Linked DNA regions of Kluyveromyces lactis. The protein of the gene in region 2 purifies or fractionates together with the protein of the main gene of each other region. This does not show direct contact. Links are inferred from orthologs where the notes say so. Each region holds a gene or a part of one and is shown on either strand. Other genes may lie near its edges.

Region 1 (9,854 bases), on a different chromosome or scaffold from region 2:
AAGTTCCAAGGTTCAGCTACGGAGAAAAGTAGGGTTTGTTGCACAAGATGGCCACGAAATACAGCTATTCGATAGTAATCTTCCACCATGCACAACAGAACGGAATAAAAATCATACTATTCCCCCTACTTCAAATGGGGTATTGTCCACATCTAATAGGATCTTCAAATATACTGACAGTTACAACAAGTTCGAAGATGTTACAAAACTTGGACCGGTTCCATTCCCAGATCTATCACTTAAGGAGAGGATGACTGCATTATTCGAATTAGTAGGTGCCCCAGAAGAGTTAAAGGAGTGTAACGATCTAAGGCTATCCTTAACGTGCTTGCATCCATGTTTAGCCAAAATATTAGGCTTTTTATGGAGAAACATTAATGTAGGATTGAAAGAGAACAATCACTTAAGAAATATGGTGAAAAGATTAGAAAAGCAGCGCCTCATCGACTCAACTGCACATGAGAGTAAACAGGAAGAATTTTCCAAGTTGACCACTATACATGTTCAGAAGTTGAATGATCTTGAACGTACTTTACAGGAGGTAGAAGTTCAGTATTCTAGACAAAAGGCGCACAATAATTCATCATTAGAACTTGTGAATACCGCAATGGAAGGCATGACCGGTGTTTTAAATCTGTTTTTCAGTCAAGAGTTTTACGAAGAGTGGCAGAAAGATACAAAAGATAGAATTGATTCATTAATGGTATATTTGAATGATATATGCCAATATTTCAGCACAATGCAAACCGAAATGATTCTAAAATTGGAACATAATGCCGAAATGAACGAACTTACAGAGAGATGTGAGTTCTATACCGAGAATTGCTCTTTGTTAGAGAGAGAAAATGAATCTTTGAAGGCAGTTGCCAGTGCATATCGTCAATTACAGGACATTGTCACGGAAAAAAACATTATAATAAGCTCATTGGAGGTAGAAAATCGTTCTTTGAAAAAGCAAGTGGAGACAAAGGCAAAGGATTTGGAGCTTTTGTCAGTGAAGCATGAAAGGGAAATTGCTAAATTAAAAGATCTCTCAAAGGCTGAAAGAGGCAGAATTTTAAAGGTTTGGGACAGAACAGACTACGAGAAGGCATTGGATTCAAAAGAAGAGGAAATCGTTAAGTTAAACCACCGTATCAGTCTATTGGATCTGATAATAGACAACAAGGTGACAGAAATAAAAAATAATGAGAGCAGATACAGGGGACTTGAGACAAAAGTTGCAATTTTAAGTAATGAAAACATAGTTTTAAAGTCAAAACATGACGAGGTTATCAAAAAGAAGAAGGAAGACCTTGCATTTTTCAATGAGAAGTTTCAAAAAAGGTTGTTAGCGATGAAACGTGAAATAGATAAAAATGCTGACATGTATCATAATGAACTACAAAGCTACAGGACTAATTACGAGAAAACTTTAAGTAGTGCCTTAAAAGTTACTCTTAAAGCAGAATCTGCGCTTAGTGCCATATACAGCAATAATGTGGATAGATTCGGGTCTACAAACCGGACTTTGAATTATTTTATGAAGAAAAGAGATATGTTCCAAAATATCAGAGACAATATGGTCTCCAACAAGCCCAAACCAGAATACAAACCTGCGATCACCATTACAAGTGTTAGTGATGGCATAGAAAATAAAGACAATAGAAACGAAGAGTTACACTACATATCAGAACAAAAACAAGGTTTTAATGATTCACTCCGTGAGCTTAAAGTAGCCAATGTGAATAGCAACTGTTCCTCAAGGTCGAAACACAACGCTAAACAAATTATACAAAAGCTCCGAGAGTGGAAGCAAAACCAAAACACATCAGAGCTATCGCCAGACAAAGAAGATTCCATATTTTCAACTGGAATTGAGACAGATTATTCAACTTCAAATATCGCACAGTTATCCACTAGGAACTGGGCTAGCGCTTTGAAGAACAACTATAACGCCAAGTACTTGGAATCTATCTGAATGAAAACAGCGTACTAAGTTAACAGAATTTAACCTAACATAATGAACATATTAGCAGCTAGTTTAGTCCATTAAATAAAAATGCAAACTCACTTCCTAGAAGGCTATAAAAACTACTCTCACTTGGCAATGCTATTTCCAATGTCTGTCATATATACTTAAACGTCAAGGTGAATATAATTCATTACCCGGAAATAATTGCTTTTTGAGATATCTGAAAATTTTCTACCTGAAGAAAAAAATTTGATGAAGACGATGAGATGAGATGAGCTTTAACAAGAAAAGTATAGAGTTCTATTAGAAGTAGATTCATCTTACTGGACTAAAAACTGTCACTTTAGTGTAGATTCTGCTTTACGATATTGTTGCTACTATCCTTTTATTGTTTTCTCTCGATATTTGAAGGAGATAGTGTACTGGATTGTTCGTTAGAAAGCTAATAAGTAAGATAGAGATCGATGTCTGACGAATTTGTTATTAAGCCAGAGAGTGTTTCACCATCTAGTAACACTAGTGAGTGGCCTTTATTGTTGAAGGACTATGACAAACTATTAGTCAGAAGTGGTCATTACACACCAATTCCAGCTGGTGCCTCTCCTTTGAAGAGAGATTTGAAGTCATATATCAGTTCTGGTGTCATCAATTTGGACAAACCTTCAAACCCATCTTCTCACGAAGTTGTTGCTTGGATCAAGCGTATCTTGCGTTGCGAAAAAACAGGTCATTCTGGTACTTTAGATCCTAAAGTCACTGGTTGTTTGATCGTCTGTGTTGACAGAGCTACCAGATTGGTCAAGTCTCAACAAGGTGCTGGTAAAGAGTATGTTTGTATCGTTAGATTGCACGATGCCCTTAAGGACGAGAAGGAATTGGGCAGAGGTTTAGAAAATTTGACTGGTGCTTTGTTCCAAAGACCTCCTTTAATTTCTGCTGTTAAGCGTCAATTACGTGTCCGTACCATTTATGACTCCAACTTGATCGAATTTGACAACAAGAGGAACTTGGGTGTTTTCTGGGCTTCCTGTGAAGCTGGTACTTATATGAGAACTTTATGTGTCCATCTTGGTATGCTTTTAGGTGTCGGTGGCCATATGCAAGAGTTGCGTCGTGTTAGATCCGGTGCTTTGTCCGAAAACGATAACTTGGTCACCCTACATGATGTTATGGATGCACAATGGGTATACGATAACACCAGGGATGAATCCTACCTAAGAAAGATCATTCAACCATTAGAAACTCTATTAGTCGGTTACAAAAGAATTGTTGTCAAAGATTCTGCTGTTAACGCTGTTTGTTACGGTGCCAAGTTGATGATTCCAGGTCTACTTCGTTATGAGGAAGGTATTGAATTATATGACGAAGTTGTATTAATCACCACCAAGGGTGAGGCCATTGCAGTTGCCATTGCTCAAATGTCTACTGTCGATTTAGCTACTTGTGACCACGGAGTTGTTGCCAAGGTTAAGAGATGTATCATGGAAAGAGACCTATATCCAAGAAGATGGGGTCTTGGTCCAATTGCCCAAAAGAAAAAACAAATGAAGGCTGACGGTAAGCTAGACAAATATGGCCGTGCCAACGAAAATACTCCAGAGACCTGGAAGAAGACTTACGTTTCATTGGAGAATGCTGAACCAACTACCGCCCCTGCATCCAAATCAGAAGAAAAACCACTGATCAAAGAAGTAGAAAAGAAGGAAGTCGAACAGAAGGAAGAATCAAAGGAAGAATCAAAGACACCAGAAGAAAAGAAGGACAAGAAGGAAAAGAAGGAGAAGAAGGACAAGAAGGAGAAAAAGGAAAAGAAGGAGAAGAAGGAGAAGAAGAGAAAGGCTGACGATGATGAGTCTTCCGAGAAGAAGAAGAAGAAGTCAAAGAAATAAACGACTACAATCTAAGTCCTTCATATCATCGATCGAAATTTCAAAACTGCATAGAGTTTATCATTTAGGTTATGTACACTGTAGAATATTTTTAATCATTGAAAAACGTATTTCGTCACGACTGTTTTTTGTACCCTGTGTCGATGTTGTATATCATTGTATTCGTATATATAAATTTGTAAATTATTTATGCGCGTGTGAAGACACCATTACGTCTTCAATTGAAGTAATGGCAAAAAGTAATGGTAAATGTATGAGGTAGATAGAAGATTTGATAATAATACTTGGAGTTTTTTTTTTTTTGGCAGACATCAATTGTTCGGAACCAAATAGAAGTCGGGAAACTTGCAGATTGGTATGTCTTTTATTTGCATGATGTCATTTGCTCAATAAAAAGGTAAATGAAGGTTAAAATCTATGCAAATGGTTACATTGTGAACAGAAGTCGAGGTGTCACAATGAAACGTCCCGTTTCTTACTTTACCAGTATTAACAATCATTGAATAATTCTCCTTGTATTCTCTCGCATATTATATTGCGTCCTCAACTTATGTTGCGTGCTTCATTTACCGAAGGATATTTTTTTGAAAATAGTGTACAGTGTGGTCAGAAAGTTAACGCATTAATCGACAGACAATGTAGCCATACGATAAGATTGCTTCTGCTGAAGTGAATGTGAATGGAACATTTGAATTGGAAATAATTAATGGGAGTAAACATTTAAAGAAATGAAAACATATGACATAGAACCATAATGGTGGGAAGATAATATTTCTGGCAGACGTTGAATTGTAAACATGATCACCGTCAGAAGTCTAAATTTGCAATCGTCATGTCATACTTTTATGATTTATTTTCGTTATAAAGACATTCTTCATCTTTCATTCAGAAGTTATCCATAATGGCTTGTCTTTGTTGAGGTGTTAAAGAGGTTGGATAATCGATCTTGAACTTAATAATCAAATCACCTCTTTGGGAAGGATTCTTTGACAGTGTCATACCTTGTCCGGGATATGTTGAGGTTTGAGTAGGTTGAATTGGCTGCGTTCTTGTGATTGGAATTGTTTTACCGTCGATGGTTTGTACTTGCTTGGAGAAACCTAGAAGAGATTCTTTGAAAGAAAGTGGTAAAGTGTAAATCAAATCATTGTCTTGTCTGGTGAAAAATTCGTGTGGTTTTTCCTGTAGAACGAATTGTAATGTTTGTCTACCACCAGTTCTTGGATTATAGTCACCTTCACCTTTGAAAGTAATCTTGGTACCTGCTTTCCAACCTGGTTTCAATTGGATGTCAATTTGGTTCTTTTCGGACACACCACCGGCGCCTTTTCTTGTGATCTTGAATGATTTCTTCTTACCGCTGAATAAATCTTCTAAGGACACAGGTAGATTGACCTGAACAACTTCTTCTTCAGGTCTAGCCTGTTGTCTACTGAATCCACCTGGCATTCCACCTGGCATTCCACCTGGCATACCGCCTGGCATGCCGCCCGAAGAGGAATGGAAACTACTGCCTCCAAACCCGAAATCATCACCAGACCCGCCGCTAGCAGAGAATCCAAATGGAGAAGCACCTCCGGCAGCACCTCCTCCACCAAAGAACTGTGAAAAGATGTTGAAAGCGTCATCTTGTGAGAACGCATGTCCCCCGGCAAACCCACCAGAAGAAAATCCTCCAGGCCCACCAGGCCCACCAGGCCCTCCCGCTCCTCCAAATTGAGGAGCATTACCACGAGCAGCCTCTAGACCATAAGTATCGTAAACTTCCCTCTTCTGAGCATCTGAAAGAATCTCAAAAGCCTCAGAGATTTCTTTAAACTTCTCAGTGTCACCTGTAGGCTTATCTGGATGATACTTCAAGGCAGCCTTTCTGTACCCTTTTTTAATCTCGGCTTCACCTGCACTAGGCGAAATTCCTAGCAAATCATATAATTTAGTGTCCTTAACCATACTCCTACGACGTTTCAAATTTGGTAATTGTCCTTTTGTATATATGTCGAATGATAGTTCAAATTAGCTCTATCTAAACTAGAAGAATTAGAGTAAACTAAAAGAATCAGTTAATGTTTACACTGTTTCGAGATACCAATGGGACAAAAGATGCAATAAAACTCTTCTCTAAACATGTCGATCGAATACCAACGACCAATAATCTTTGAACGAAAAACATCCTGTTCTTTGAAAACCTTTATATAACATTTCATTCCTATATATTCAGGTTCAGTTCTGTTGCAACCGATCATGTTCTTTCAGAGTATACCCTGGAACCTTCTAGAAGTAAAAAAACATGAATGCTTTAAGCACGCGAGATTCATGTGACAATCACGTGATATAGAAGTTTCCCACCAATACAAATCTGTCATCACAAAGCCGCAAATCAGGTGTCATTCAATGACATTAGCCACTACACAATCTTGTGGCTATCTCTATGCCTCCACTTTTGTTTCAATTGCTGTTGTTTATATCTCAATCATGAATATTGACAAATTATGGTTTAATGTGATAAAGAATATGCAATATACTAGATGAAAGAAAGTCTTAAGGAATCTGAGGAGTTTTCAAGGCTTTTTCTCCCCTGTGAACAAGGTAGAGGTTTCTTATTGTGTACGGTCAGACTAACTTCAATATTGCCATGTCTGTTATTCTAGCGAGTGCTGGATACGACCACACAATTAGGTTCTGGGAAGCTTTGACTGGAGTCTGTTCACGAACCATTCAACATGCAGATTCCCAAGTGAATCGATTAGAGATTACGTCCGATAAGAAATATTTGGCTGCTGCTGGTCATTTACACGTCCGTCTTTATGATATACGGTCGAATAATCCAAATCCGGTGTCCTCTTTCGAAGGCCATAAAGGGAACGTAACGTCGATTGCATTTCAACAGGAAAATCGATGGATGGTATCGTCTAGTGAAGATGGGACTATTAAGGTTTGGGATGTACGGTCCCCATCTGTGCAAAGGAATTACAAGCATAATGCACCTGTCAATGAAGTAGCGATACATCCGAACCAAGGGGAATTGATTTCCTGCGATCAGGATGGGAATATCAGGATTTGGGATCTTGGTGAAAACCAGTGCACAAACCAGCTGACACCAGAAGATAACACGCCATTACAGTCGTTGTCCGTTGCAAGCGACGGATCGATGCTTGTTGCAGGAAATAACAAAGGGAACTGTTATGTATGGAAGATGCCTCATCACACGGATGCTTCCACTTTGGAGCCCGTAACTAAATTCAAATCGCATACTAAATATATTACCAGGGTCCTACTATCGGCGGATGTAAAACATTTAGCAACATGTTCAGCAGACCATACAGCTAGAGTATGGAATATAGAGGATAATTTTGAACTTGAAACCACTTTAGATGGTCATCAGAGATGGGTGTGGGATTGTGCGTTTTCAGCAGACAGTGCATACCTAGTCACAGCATGCTCTGATCATTATGTAAGATTATGGGACCTTTCCACAAGTGAAATTGTAAGGCAGTATGGAGGACATCACAAAGGTGCTGTTTGTGTTGCTCTTAACGATGTATGAAACTTTAATCAATATCTCTAAAGAAGGGATATGCGACATAGCATTTTATTGTGGTTTCGTTGATGTAGTAATTTAATAAAAAGATCAAAACTATGGATATCAAAACTCTTATTTACTTTCAACACTTAGATATATATAAAGATGACCTGCGATGATACTGGAAAGTTTCGCCAGGATCAGAAGTTGGTTGTGGCATTCGTTTTGGAGCTCACTTGAGTCGTCGAATGAATTGACAGGTCCAAAAACAATAGTACAATTAATGATCATGAAAAGGAAAAGAGCAGAACGACAATTACCACGTAAATGCAAGAATGGGTATGGTAATAGATACAAAATTAATGGGAAGATTAGGAATGGTTCAATTAGATGGGAAAACAAGTCCAATTTTCGTTTTTTTATTCGTTTCTGAATAGAATAATAGATTAAAGGAATAGAAACGATAACGAATGGTAATAAAGGCAGGTAAATCGAATTTAAACAAGAAAAACAAAAACAAAACAACGAATAGGAGATGGAGTAGGTTTAAAGAGTAATATTCTTAGTGGGAAAGGTAACTTTAGCGTAGAAAAACAATCTATCAAAATTAAAGTTCAGAGGTTCAATCTTTGAGGAATCCTCCAACTTCGGCATACCAAAAGATCCATTCATCTAGAAAGGCCTTGAACATCCACCACAATCCAAAATTTTCGTTTGAGTTCGTTAATATTTCTTTCGTACAAGCAGCGGTGAAAGAATTGAAAGTCAATACTAGTAATCTAGGAGGTAGACTCTTGTTTGAAAGCACTCCGAAAACCATTTTAACGAAAGAGATTAGATCAAAATCCTCATCCGTTTTCTTAAGAAGTTCCAATAACTGCACTGAAAAGAGTTCTTGCATATCTTTTTCTAAAGCAGGGTGGTTGAAGTAAGAAAACTCTTGGTTTATTAGTTCGGACACTTTAACGTTCTGTTCCCAGACGTATAACATTGATAATCTATTCTCTTGCTTACTCATGATATTTGATAATTTCTTGCTGTTGTCAATCACTTTCACGAGCCTTTTCACAAGACGGCAAAACGCCTGTGCCACACTCTTTTTGAAGGTTACCATCGGTAATGGTAAATCCATGGTAGATTGCTCAACCATCTTCATATACTCATTTGAAAAGTCTGACAATTTGTTGAACACAACCTCTGGAATTTCGTTGAAGTCAACAATCAAACTCGAAAGCATCTTGGTCAGAGCCTTGTGAGTAAGTAGGTCTGATTGATGAACCCATCTGTACAATTCTTCAGAAATAAACAAGTTGTACATTTTTGATGATATTGAACTCGATGAAAATGATTGCAATGTTAATGGAAGATCATCAAACTTCATGAACCGTATATTTTCAAACAAAGTATTACAATAAACTTGGTATAGGGAGTTAACACTGGAAGCAATATCAGGATCAACTGACTGATTTACCGGTAAAAACTTTTGCAAGTCTGGAAATTCAATAGGTAGTTCCACTTTGGCTTCTGATGTTACTGCGAAGAAATCTGGTAGTAAAGCGTATCCTTCATCATAACACGTATTAAAACTTGTTTCAGCCGATAATACCGGTTTAACACCAGCATCATGTCCTTGAATATTTCCTGTCACGTCCAATGAAATATCTTCGGATAACTGGTTTAATGGATCACTTACCGAAGATTGTTTCCCCAACATGGCATTTGGCTGTATGGATTTTATTCCATTGCTATGATCGGATTGTGAGTCTATAGAATGCTGAGAATCACCCTCATACTTCAAAGATATTGAATTTTCATTATTTGAATGACTTGAAGTTGTCCCACTGGTAGACAACATTGCACTTGACGTGTCACTATTCGACGACCCTGTCGGTGTTAAATCTGAAGAAGTAGCGAAAGGAGAAACAAGCTTGAGTCCACAGTAATGGTACTTTGATTGTCCTCTCATACCCAATCTTCTTGTTTTCAAGAATGGGAACAAGGCTCTGATCAATTTACCAAGAGTGGCCTGAGATAAGGGTTTCAACTGGTTTTGAGCACAAGACGCCGCGTATTGGGCAAAAATCCTACCGCGGCGGACGTAAGATTCAGTGTCTGTCACACAGTTGCTCATTAGCCATATTAAGGCATACACTTGCCTCTCGCGTTCTCTGTGCTGTTCTGCCGATTGAATTTCAGATTTGGCATGCGTAGAGGTATCCATGTTGAGTACTTGGATTTCAGCATTTCTAACTACAGAAGCATATTCGCTCAAGGGCTTATCTTTGTTCTTCATTGCTACTAATTTTAAGATATTCTCCTGGGTTGTTCTTTTCGAAGTCACAGCAGCACCCGTCCGTACAGGCTGCATAGCTTCGTCAACTTTCTGTTTTTTCCAGCGTTGGTCTTGGTCTTGTAAAATGAACTGTTGCTGTTGCTGCTGTTGTTGATGTTGATGTTGTTGATGTTGATGTTGTTGATGTTGATGTTGTTG
Region 2 (11,162 bases):
ACATCCATTTCAGTGGGAATTTTGAGGAAGCAGATACGTTTTTAATTTCATAGCTTTTTTCTTCCTACAAGATGGTCCGCAATGGTTCTAGTCGATTGCCAGTGAATAGTCTTTGGGGTTCTCTTGTTCAATTCAGTTTCAAAATCGTACAATTGTCTGATTGAACTAAAGACAATGTCAGATCCCTTAACACCTAAGACTGATGCAGTTGCTATGATCTTTGGTGTATCAAAGTCGAAGTCGTCATCATCCAGATTTGCCTCAGCTGCTAATACCTTGTGTTGAGACTCAATGAAACCAACAGCTCTGATGGCGAATCTAGTACCCCTTGTTCTATCAATTGGAGAAGGTAGACCACCTTGTTGGACATGACCTGGGATGGCACATTTGGCATCGAAGTGACCTTCAGCTTCTTGAGTAATGACCTCAGCCAACACTTCAGGAGTAAGCACCTTAGAGGCATTGGTGGACTTCAAGATAAGTTGTCCGAATTTACCTCTACCTTCAGCTTCGCTGAATGATTCCGTCAAGTTTTCAATATCTTGCGTTAGTTGCTCCAAACTTATACCTTCTTCTGGGACATAGGAAACTTGGGCACCCACAGCAACAGCGGCATGTGTGGCTAGATACCCAGAGTTACCACCTTGAACATCAACAACAAAAACTCTACCACGGGTTGATGCAGCAGATTGCTTGATAATATCACAGTATTGCATCAAAGAGTTCAGAGCGGTATCCGAACCGAGGGAGTACTCGGTACCCGGAACATTGTTGGATAAAGTGGCTGGAATCAAAACCATTGGGATTCTGAAGGCTGTATAGTTCTCTCTTGCTCTTTCCAATTGATGCAAGGAGACAAACGCTTCAAAACCACCGACAATGATGATACCATCGAATCCATACTTTTGGAAATAGTAAGCAATCAAACCGATATCAGCTTCTTCAGGAGTATGTCTGTTGGTACCGATTTCAGAACCACCGCGGGATTGCCATCCCAAAAGATCCTTCCAGTTTAGAGATCTCACGGATTCGTGTCTAGTTAACCCAGTCCAACCATTGTAAATTGCATATGGTTTGTGACCTTGAGACATACAGTACGTAGCCATCGAATAAACTGCAGAGTTCATACCACCAGCTGGGGCACCGACATTGACAATAGCAATCTTCATATGGGTGTGTTCTGGTAACTTAGGTTCGATATGGTCAGCAGAATTGATTGCCATGAAATTATCCAAATGCTCAACAAATTCCGAATCTCTCAATTGCATAGCCTTTTTGAAATCCTTGGAATGGATTGCTTCCGCAACAGATTTGGTTAGTTGAACTGATTCAACCAAAGGCTTACGAGTGATCTTGTTCTCATTGATAGCGATCAAAGGAGAAGGGGTATCTGGAGTTGATTCCAAAACTGCATTGACAGCTTCCACACCTTGCAATGTTGCAAGAATACGGTCATAAGCAACGGCTGTACCACCTCTCTGGACATGTCCTAGTGTAGTAATTCTACAATCTAGACCCAATCTGTCCACTAAGACTTTATGAACGTCCTTAGATGAGATAGGAGTTAAGTCTGCTGAAATGGCACCTTCAGCAACAATAACGATAGTTGTTCTCTTACCTCTTGACCTATGCTTTGAAATGATATCACACATTTGATCTTGCCATTCTCTTGATGATGCAGGTTTCTCTGGAATCAAGATGTAATCAGCTGATGTAGAGATACCAGCCAATAAAGCTAACCAACCACAATTTCTACCCATAACTTCCACCACAAAGGCTCTGGAATGGGAGTTAGCGGTGGCCTCAATGTAATCAATTGCTTGACAGATACGATCCAATGCCGAGTAGGCACCAATGGTAGCATCTGTAGTAGACATATCATTATCGATGGATCCAACAGTACCACAAATATTCAAGTGCTGGTACCTATCGAATTGAACTTTGTTAATTCTTCCTTGATCTAAGAGTTCACGAATCAAAGAAGGCCATTCAGATCTGAATAAATCAGCACCAGTGAGGGAACCGTCACCACCACACACGATCAAAGCGTCGACACCAGCTTCGATTAAGTGAAGAGCACCAAGTAACCTTCCCTCTCTCTCTCTAAATTCTTTACAACGAGCAGTACCAATGTTGGTACCACCTTCGCAAGACCAGTTACGTACTGTTTCCCAGTAAACCTGCTTGATATAATTTGGACCACCTTTTACAAGACCTTCGTAACCTTCCATGACTACGAAGGCATTACAACCCTTGAAAATAGCTGTTCTAACAATAGCTCTCACATTTGCGTTCATACCTGGCGCATCACCACCGGATGTCATAACGGCGATGGACTTTTGCGCTTTCGCAGTCTTTGGAATCGCTGGATACGAGCTGTCAGTGGAAACACCAGAAGAAGCAATGTCTATTCTTGAAGATCTTGAGGAGATCAAAGAGGCCTCAACAGATTGCTTAGGCAGCGTAGGTTTGATAGAAATAGCATTTTTCGTTTCAGTGATACCAATGATATATCCGTTTGGATCCTTCAAATATATTTCAATTGGGTTGGTTTCGTTAGGATAGGCCTGAATCGTTTCACCAGCAGCCAAATCTCTGAAATGTTGGATATTTGTACATGAAAAAACCAATGCTGATGACACAATGGCCCTCCAATCTTTATCGTTAACAACATCCAATGGCTTGAAGCTGTTATCAACAACTAGCTTTAGAGTGATTAAAGAATTTGTCAATGTGCCAACTCGCTTGTCATGAACTAATTGCAAATACTTTTCGTAAAACTTGACTGTCTTATCATACAACCCTTGAGTCGTAACTAATTTGTACGCTTCCGTACCGTTCAACAATGGCAAAGATTGTGTCATTGCAGTTTATTATTACTTGTATCAATATTTTCCTTTTTGTAATCGTTTGATTCTCGCTTAAAAGTTTGAAAACGTGCAGAGACCTAAATATACGTCTTTATCAACTTGATCCTCTTGCAAATTCTTCTGCTAACCTTGTTACGAGGAAACTGGTTACAAGTTTCGCTATACGCAGATTATTACTGATTAATGCAGTAACTTGTTTACTGGTTTGCAAGTCAGTAGAAGCAGAAGCACGAATCAGAAATTATTCCTCTGTCCAAGCTTACAAAGTAGTTTTCATTTATACTAAATAGTCAAAAGTTCAATATCCTTTTCCCTTCCTTTAATGTGGATTGCATGATGATGGGTTTCGTGAGCATGTAGGATCACGAGCTTCCACTTTTCGGAGCACCACCAAAATTGGAATCCGGAAAATAACGAACCACTTATCTTACAGGAATCTCTGAAGTTAGTGGATGCTGCATGTTTGCTGCGTAATGAAAAATTAAAAAAAAAAAAATGTGAAGAGTTATATTAATCTCAGTCACGTGCTTTCATGTCACTTCAAAAGGATATCTTTATCAGTATTACCGGCAGTTATGGCTGTAATATGGCGATTGAACGGTGTCATATCGAATATTGTATACAACGATACATAAATTTGCATTTACATTTCAAATAAATAGATGAGAGTTTGGTGCTCTTCAAACGCCCAATCCGTATGGGACGACTTCGATGGAGTATCCATCAGGGTCCTTGATGAAGGCGAGATTCTTCATTTTACCTTGATTGAACTTTGGAGACCATTGGATATCTGGGTATAGTTTCTCAATTTCTGCGCACAACGTAGCTGGATCCTTGTTTGAGATGCAGATGTGGCCGTACCCCTGTGGTTCAGTATTACCGGTGTGATAAGCGAAATCTGGATCATTTTCTGTCCCCCAGTTATGTGTCAACTCCAAGATACTTTCTCTTGAACCACGAGCAATTCCTTTTTGATCATTTTCGTAGCCTAAGAAGTATAGCGTGAATTTAGCATTTGAATGGTCACTAACGTCAAGGATTTTCATTCCTAGGACGTTTTGATAGAATTCAAGGGATTTGATTGGATCCTTGACTCTTACCATGGTATGGTTGAACTTGTAGTTGTTCCCCTCTCCAGATTCGTTGTTTTGAATCAATTCAATCCAGTACCCATTAGGATCTAATGCGAAAGCAATATTCCTTTGGCTACCGTCTGTCAATCTCTTCTTGAACTTGACGCCATTGGATTCCAATCTTTCACATTCAGCTTCTAGGTTAGAGACACTGAAGCAAATATGACCAAACCCACGGTGTGGTTCTTCATTACCGTTGTTCACCTTGTATGCTGGATCAGATTCAGTACCATAATTGTGGGTCAATTCCAAAATACCGTTTTCTCTAAAGACGTCAATGGCACCTTGAGAGTTGTTCGAAAACTGCTTATTAGGGAATGATAAGAAGTATAAATCAAACTTCATGTCAGGGAATTTCTTGTGATCTAATAGCTTCATACCAAATTGTTCCTGGTAGAACGCAACAGTGACCTTTGGATCCTTTACCCTGAAACATGTGTGGTTTAGCTTTAAGCTCTGGTCCGCTTGCGCAGACTCAACAATTTTTGGATAATATTTGGCAGTAGTTTCGGTACTCATTGGTCGTATATGCTTGAGGATGTTGAGTAATCTTTCCTTGAACATGTAGGTGGAACTACTACGTTTGGGATGAATTGATGGCTAGCCAATGGTAAAAAGGCATCTCAAGGTAACTCCTGTTAATATACAAAATTGGCTGGTCGCAAAATCCTATTTATTTTGCTATACAACGAGAAATCATTAATTTTTCAGTTTCTTTTCAATGAAAACATAACCTGACTGATGCAAAAGTGACGGTTAATAGTGCAGAGGATTTGCCATATTTAGCTTTGGATCCGATAGATAAGTGATCTGCCGTGACGCACATGAGCTTGTTATACGGAAAGGTGAGACCTTTGTTTTCTTAAAGCTTTTGCGTAGAACCCCAAATGATACGACACATTCCAGTTCCTTCATTGCAATCGACAGGATGCAGCATTCTGATTGCATTCGAGCCCCTACTCATTATCATAGTGGTATCTCACTTTGTATCTTTTCTCACTCTTTTCTAATGAAAAAATACTCACTCAACTTTAAGCTTTACTAAAGTCTAACTGATATTTCTTCTTTTAATAAATACAAGAGTATTTATTTGGCGAAACAGTTTAAACTATATACCGAAAAGAATAACTAAGTTGATTATCTTGTCAAATTAGAACGGCTTGATAAAGACTGGATGTACTTTTGATATATCTCAGTATATTTTCCCTTCTGTTCAGCTGAATGTTGAAGGTGTTGTAGAATGTAGATATCAGTATCCACAGCGGTGGAAGATAGCTGGAAACTGAACAAAGATAAATACAGATTCAAAGCGACATATTCCAATTTTCTAATATTTAGAAGAGTAGTCAGAAACTTTGCTTTGCGACTCTCGCAAAATAAACCTAAAACTGAACAAACTGGGTTTTTGTACTGTTTTTTCTGAGAACTGTATCATTATGCATGATTTTCATACGATAGGAACGCTTCCTGCAGAAAACTTCAGGCAACAGACTCATTTTTTACCCGCCTTTAGCGTTCAACGCACTAGTTATACTTGGAGGTAAGTCACATCGTTGTAATAATTATCTTTTAGTGTGGTTTGTGTTAAAGTGTGATTTAATGCTTATCGTGTTCAATTTAAACTTTCACTGAATTTCAGGAATTCTTTATTGAATAACTATCCATAAATCGCATTATCTCAATCCCTTAGAATACAGAAGAAGAAAGTACAAAAAATCTATACTAACACCTGAATCGGAAGCTAGCAAATTGTTGAACATTAGAAGTAATTAGAAAAATAACTGATTTGATTTCGATTATTCTACAATTGGTTTTTCAGAACATAGGTGGACTCGCCAACAATTTGGCGTGATGTTCTGAAAAGCTTCTTAGAAAATGTTGCATATGTTACTCCTCAATTAACTGGGGATACAAAGATTCATTTATAAATATGTGGCATAGTTTCAGTGAGCCATTCGTATTTATCAAATGTTATACAATCTCTAATGAATTCTTTACTTGTAAGCATCAAAGATTGATAGAGGATGTATTTCATTGGTTTTCCTTCTTGTTTCATTCGGTTGAAAATAACACTAGATGGGTGAACGCTGACGGATAAATCTTGCTTTATGTTAGTATAGCCTTGTTTAGAGAGCTTTGCTATATTTGTTGGAAATCCTGATATAAAGCATTTAATGATTTTTGCTTCAATGACGGAACGAGGCATGTTTTCTTTGAGTTGAGTAAGGTTTTGGTCATGCTTAAGCAGAAAATCTTGTTTCCTACAATATTTCCATAATTGTTGTCGTATCCTCAATACTCGTTTCATTGTTTTATGTTGCAACTTGAAATCTTGACACCATCTTCGTGAGTATCCATTCTCTTCCCATTGTTCATATATCCACAAGTATAGCATGTGGTCACTTGACTGCATCAATGACCCAAAAAGTTTTGTCTTTTCTTCCGAATTGAGTCCCGGTACAAATATAGAGTTGCTCTCTTGAAGCATAGAGACAATCGTAACAATTTCAGGTAGAACACCATTACAGCTTTCTTCAAACACGCTAGAATATATTACCTTGGCATATTCAGGATCACATGGGAAATCACACATAACTTGTCCTACTTTTGTGATTGCACCTCTGCTATTGAGAGCGCCAATGGCATACAAATTTTCGAGGGCTTCGCTTAGCTGGATAGTTTTTGGTTTGTCCAACATTGGAAAGTGAAGTAAGTCGTTGATACCTAGTGAAAGCAAAAGTAGAACCACTTGATTCAATTTTGTTCTCAAAATCTCTGGCTTTGGTACTTTTTCAAGCTCATTGTAGTAAGACCATTTTGTAAATAATCTAAAACATTTGCCTGGACCCAATCTCCCTGCTCTCCCTGCTCTCTGGTCAACAGATGCCCTAGAACATGGAACTGTCACTAGCTTTGAAACTCCTCCTGAATAGGATTGTTCCTTCACAAAACCTGGATCTACCACGAACTTTATGCCGTCAATTGTTAACGATGTCTCTGCAATATTTGTCGCAAGCACTACTTTTCTGCAGTTCTTCGGTGTAGGTTCAAAAATTTTGGATTGTTGTTCTTGAGGAAGATTGGCATATATAGGTACTACCAAGAGATCTGGAAATTTTGTATTATCAAGCTTGGAAAGAATCTCAAGTAATTTTGTTTGCATCGATTCTATTTCCTCTTGACCAGTTAGAAATACCAAAATATCACCTGGTAATTTTTGGGTGGTATGAATTTGAAAGATGGTGGTGATCGCAGCATTTATATAGTTTCCTTCTGGTTGAAGTGTATAGTGAATATCCACAGGAAAGCGTCTACCAGGAACATTAAATATCGGACAATCAAAGAAGAACTTGGAGAATTTAGTAGCATTCATAGTTGCACTAGAAATTATAAGTCGAAGATCTTTTCTGTCTTGTAAAATACCCCTTAGCAACCCCAACAAAATATCTGTAGATAACGTGCGCTCGTGAGCCTCGTCAATCATTATTGCACTATACGATGATAGTTGTGGGTCATTAAGAAATTCTCGAAGTAACATCCCATCTGTCGTATATTTTAAGATTGTTTTATCAGGCGTTGTTCGGTCATCAAATCTGATATTATAACCGACTTCTTTCCCCAATATTACATCCATTTCATCAGCAACTCTTGAAGCAATACTAGTTGCAGCAACTCTACGTGGTTGTGTGCAAACCACGCATTTTCCATCGTTGGTGTAACCATCCTCCACAAGGAACTGTGGAAGTTGGGTGGTTTTCCCAGACCCCGTTTCACCAACAACAATCAAAATTTGATGTTGCCGAATACTATCCAAAATTTCTTGTCTATATTGATAAACTGGCAATGACTTCCTCGTTTCTTTAATACTCTTCATCTTGTTAATTTGTTCTTCTAACGCTTCAGCCAATCTACCGTCTTCAACAGGTTCTAAAATATCTGTCGTATCATCAGTAAAATCAATCATGGACTCAGGATCAAAAACAAATTCGTAATTATCTGAATCCTTAACTTTGATTTCATCTGCATCTGCCTTAATTACACTTTTCTTCATTTGCTCCTCTTCCCAGTTCACCCTATCGGTTTTGTTTCGAAGTTTGGCGGTCAATAGTTGTTTCTTTGATGCGACCTCATCTTGCATTTTGAATCCACTTGTATCTCCATTTTCAGCATAGTCTTTTCCAGTTTCATTTAAGAGCTTCAATAGCTCTCTTTTCAGCGATATCTCTTCTCGTTCACTAACAGTTAAGTTATTCCAACCATAACGTTTTATGTCATCTTCTAAAATCTGAAGATCTTTAACCAGCCAGTGCAACTGAGAACGCTGTCTCTTAGTCAAAACTTTTTGCTCAACCATTGACTTAATCGAGTTAACCGAATAATGAGCCTTACCATCCTTCAATGAAGGGTCCGGGCTACTGTCCAAAACTTGATCTGCAGGTGAGAATGAGTTAGTATTTGCATTTACCGATTCTATGCTTTCATAAGTTCTCTTCGCTCTGCGCTGTCCTGATCCCGTAAGTTTAGTACCATTTTCATCACCTGAGGTTCCCATAGTATGAACTGCGATTCGGTATGCTGCGAGAGCGTTCTACCTGATTTCGTAGCGCTTATTTCTTCTTCTTCCCTCACCTTTAGTTTCTAATCGTGAAAGGTACATCGAGTGGCTTTCTTGCAATATCAAATGTTGAAAACTATGCCAAATGACTGATAGAAACCTTCCAGATAAACATTATCTGAATCAGAAAACAGACATAGACAGTTCCAGGCATAGGACATTTAGTGTTCATAAAACGCTTGCAAGGCGTCCAGAATGAACTCTTCTGGCTATATACCACCTTGGACAACACCGTATGTTATTGGTATTGGAGGGAGTTCAGGTTCTGGAAAGACGAGTGTTGCTACCAAACTCGTGACAAGAATCAACACTCCATGGACAGTATTAATATCGTTGGACAATTTCTATAAACCGTTAACCGTCGAAGAACGAAAGCAGGCTTTCGAAAATAACTACGATTTCGATAAACCGGATTCAATAGATTTGGATCTAGCTTATCAATGTATCCTGTCTTTGAAAGAAGGTAAGAAGGTGAAAATCCCAACCTATTCGTTCACAGATCATGATAGAATTCCAAATAAGTTTTTAACCATCTATGGTGCGAGTGTTATTGTTATTGAAGGAATTTACGCATTATATGACCAAAGACTTCTTGATTTAATGGATTTGAAGGTTTACGTGGATGCAGATTTAGATATATGTTTAGCTAGAAGATTGACAAGGGATATCATCTCTCGTGGGAGAGACTTGCATGGTTGCATAAGACAATGGGAGAAGTTTGTTAAACCAAATGCGGATAGGTTCGTGAAACCAACCATGAAGGCAGCAGATGCAATCATCCCATCCATGTCAGATAACAGCATTGCGACTGAGATGTTACTTAATCACATTCAGTCTAAATTGCAGCTCAAATCGCAGCAGCATTTAGCAGAACTTCAAAAGCTCGAGTCATACGCTGTGTCGATTGATTCTTTAAATATAATTCATAAGTTGAGACAAACTAATCAGGTGAAGGCTCTACAGACTATATTGTTAGACAAAAGCGTTTCAAGAGATGACTGGGTATTCTATTTTGACAGGTTAGCAACAATACTTTTATCCTTTGCATTGGACGATATACCTACGAAATTGAAAACGACTAAAGTTATTACGCCGACAGGAAAACAGTTGGATAATCCAGTTTTTGTTGACTTTGACCGTGTCACAGCTATAAATATTGTTAGATCTGGCGACTGTTTCATGAGATCTCTAAGAAAGACAATTCCTAGCGTCGCAGTTGGTAAGCTACTTATTCAATCCGATTCCAGAACAGGGGAACCACAATTGCACAGTTTATTTATTCCACCAATGATCGAAAATTATAACCAAGTGCTACTGATGGATGCGCAGATAATTTCAGGTGCAGCGATAATCATGGCAATCCAAGTTCTTACTGACCACAATGTTGATCTCAAGAAGATTAAGGTTGTAGTTTATCTAGCGACAGAAACCGGTATTAGAAGGATAGTTAATGCTACTAATAATCAAGTTGAAATATACGCTGGAGAAATTATTTCCGATGACAAAATCAGAACTAATCAATGTAATTGGGCCAGAAAGCGGTTCGTTGCCTCAAATTACTTTGGGTGCAAGTAGTCCTTCCTGTTTTGTTGTTTTTTTTTAATTTGTAATGCATAACTAATATTTTCCCCTAAGTATCTGCAATTGTAGTAGTTTCAAATTCTTACCAGTTATCGACTGTCATTGAAAGGAACTAAGGAAGTGTAAGGGTTTACGGCTTTACCAGTAATAGAATGAAGCCAAATATAAGAACATACTAAATATTAAAAAAAGAAAATTAATACAGATATCCGACTATTAGTATCCTATTACTTTCATGAGGGCATAGCCAACAGTAACGATAACTGAATATGCAACGATACTTGCTGGCACACCCCTGGTGATAAAGTTATTAACCGACAAATATCGATCACCGACATCATCAATCATAGAAATTGCAGTGACATTAGGGAAACCGGAAGTAGGTAATCCCATTGCTGCTGAACATAGGAACGCGGCAACCATTATTAATAACCTTGAATGGTCTCCACCAGGTAGATTTGATCCGATCTCTTTCATTAATGGGACGATGATCATAGCAGCGACTGTATGAGAGACAAAAGTAGCCATAGTCAATATGACGATGCCGAATATCAATACGATTTGGAAAACCGGTTTAGTTTCAATTGACTCTTTGATTATCGATGCAATAGTTGAGAGTAAGCCTGAAGAGGTGACAGCTTTGCCCAAAGTAGTTCCACCCATCGCTAAAATGACAATAGTCCACATGAAATTGTTGAAATCATCAGAATCTAAAATACCAGTTCCGAAAAACAACAACATTGGAATGACCGAAATGATACCCATCTCTCCGAAAACATCCTTCAATTGGTTAGCTAAACACCATAATACGATTGTGAGTATGGTAACGATCGTGATATACCACTGCTGCACAGTGAATGGATCCGAAATTGGATGATATTTCAAAATTTTCAAATTGCTGTCCGGAGGGAAAGTCAAAAGTAGTAAACACCAGATGACAACGATACAAATGACACAAACAGG

Evidence for each region.
Region 1: the proteins of PFK2 (region 2) and SIS1 purify together in Saccharomyces cerevisiae (affinity purification with mass spectrometry; 3 studies listed by BioGRID). This does not show direct contact. The link is inferred for Kluyveromyces lactis from reciprocal best matches to the Saccharomyces cerevisiae genes PFK2 and SIS1.

What each region holds. Positions count from the first base shown.
Region 1 is NC_006040.1:406,887-416,740, forward strand, and holds SIS1 (type II HSP40 co-chaperone SIS1), read right to left. Parts: upstream 5,794-9,854; coding exon 4,729-5,793; downstream 1-4,728. Other genes in the region: KLLA0_D04774g (uncharacterized protein), read left to right, coding at 1-1,960; pseudouridine synthase CBF5, read left to right, coding at 2,419-3,843; TOR complex subunit LST8, read left to right, coding at 6,476-7,387; RFX1 (Rfx1p), read right to left, coding at 7,986-9,854. UniProt on the Saccharomyces cerevisiae protein: Required for nuclear migration during mitosis. It is required for the normal initiation of translation. Might mediate the dissociation of a specific protein complex of the translation machinery. Essential for viability.
Region 2 is NC_006042.1:600,382-611,543, reverse strand, and holds PFK2 (6-phosphofructokinase subunit beta), read right to left. Parts: upstream 2,865-11,162; coding exon 48-2,864; downstream 1-47. Other genes in the region: lactoylglutathione lyase GLO1, read right to left, coding at 3,551-4,567; DEAH-box RNA-dependent ATPase PRP2, read right to left, coding at 5,922-8,555; uridine kinase URK1, read left to right, coding at 8,814-10,193; PHO91 (Pho91p), read right to left, coding at 10,416-11,162. UniProt on the Saccharomyces cerevisiae protein: Catalyzes the phosphorylation of D-fructose 6-phosphate to fructose 1,6-bisphosphate by ATP, the first committing step of glycolysis.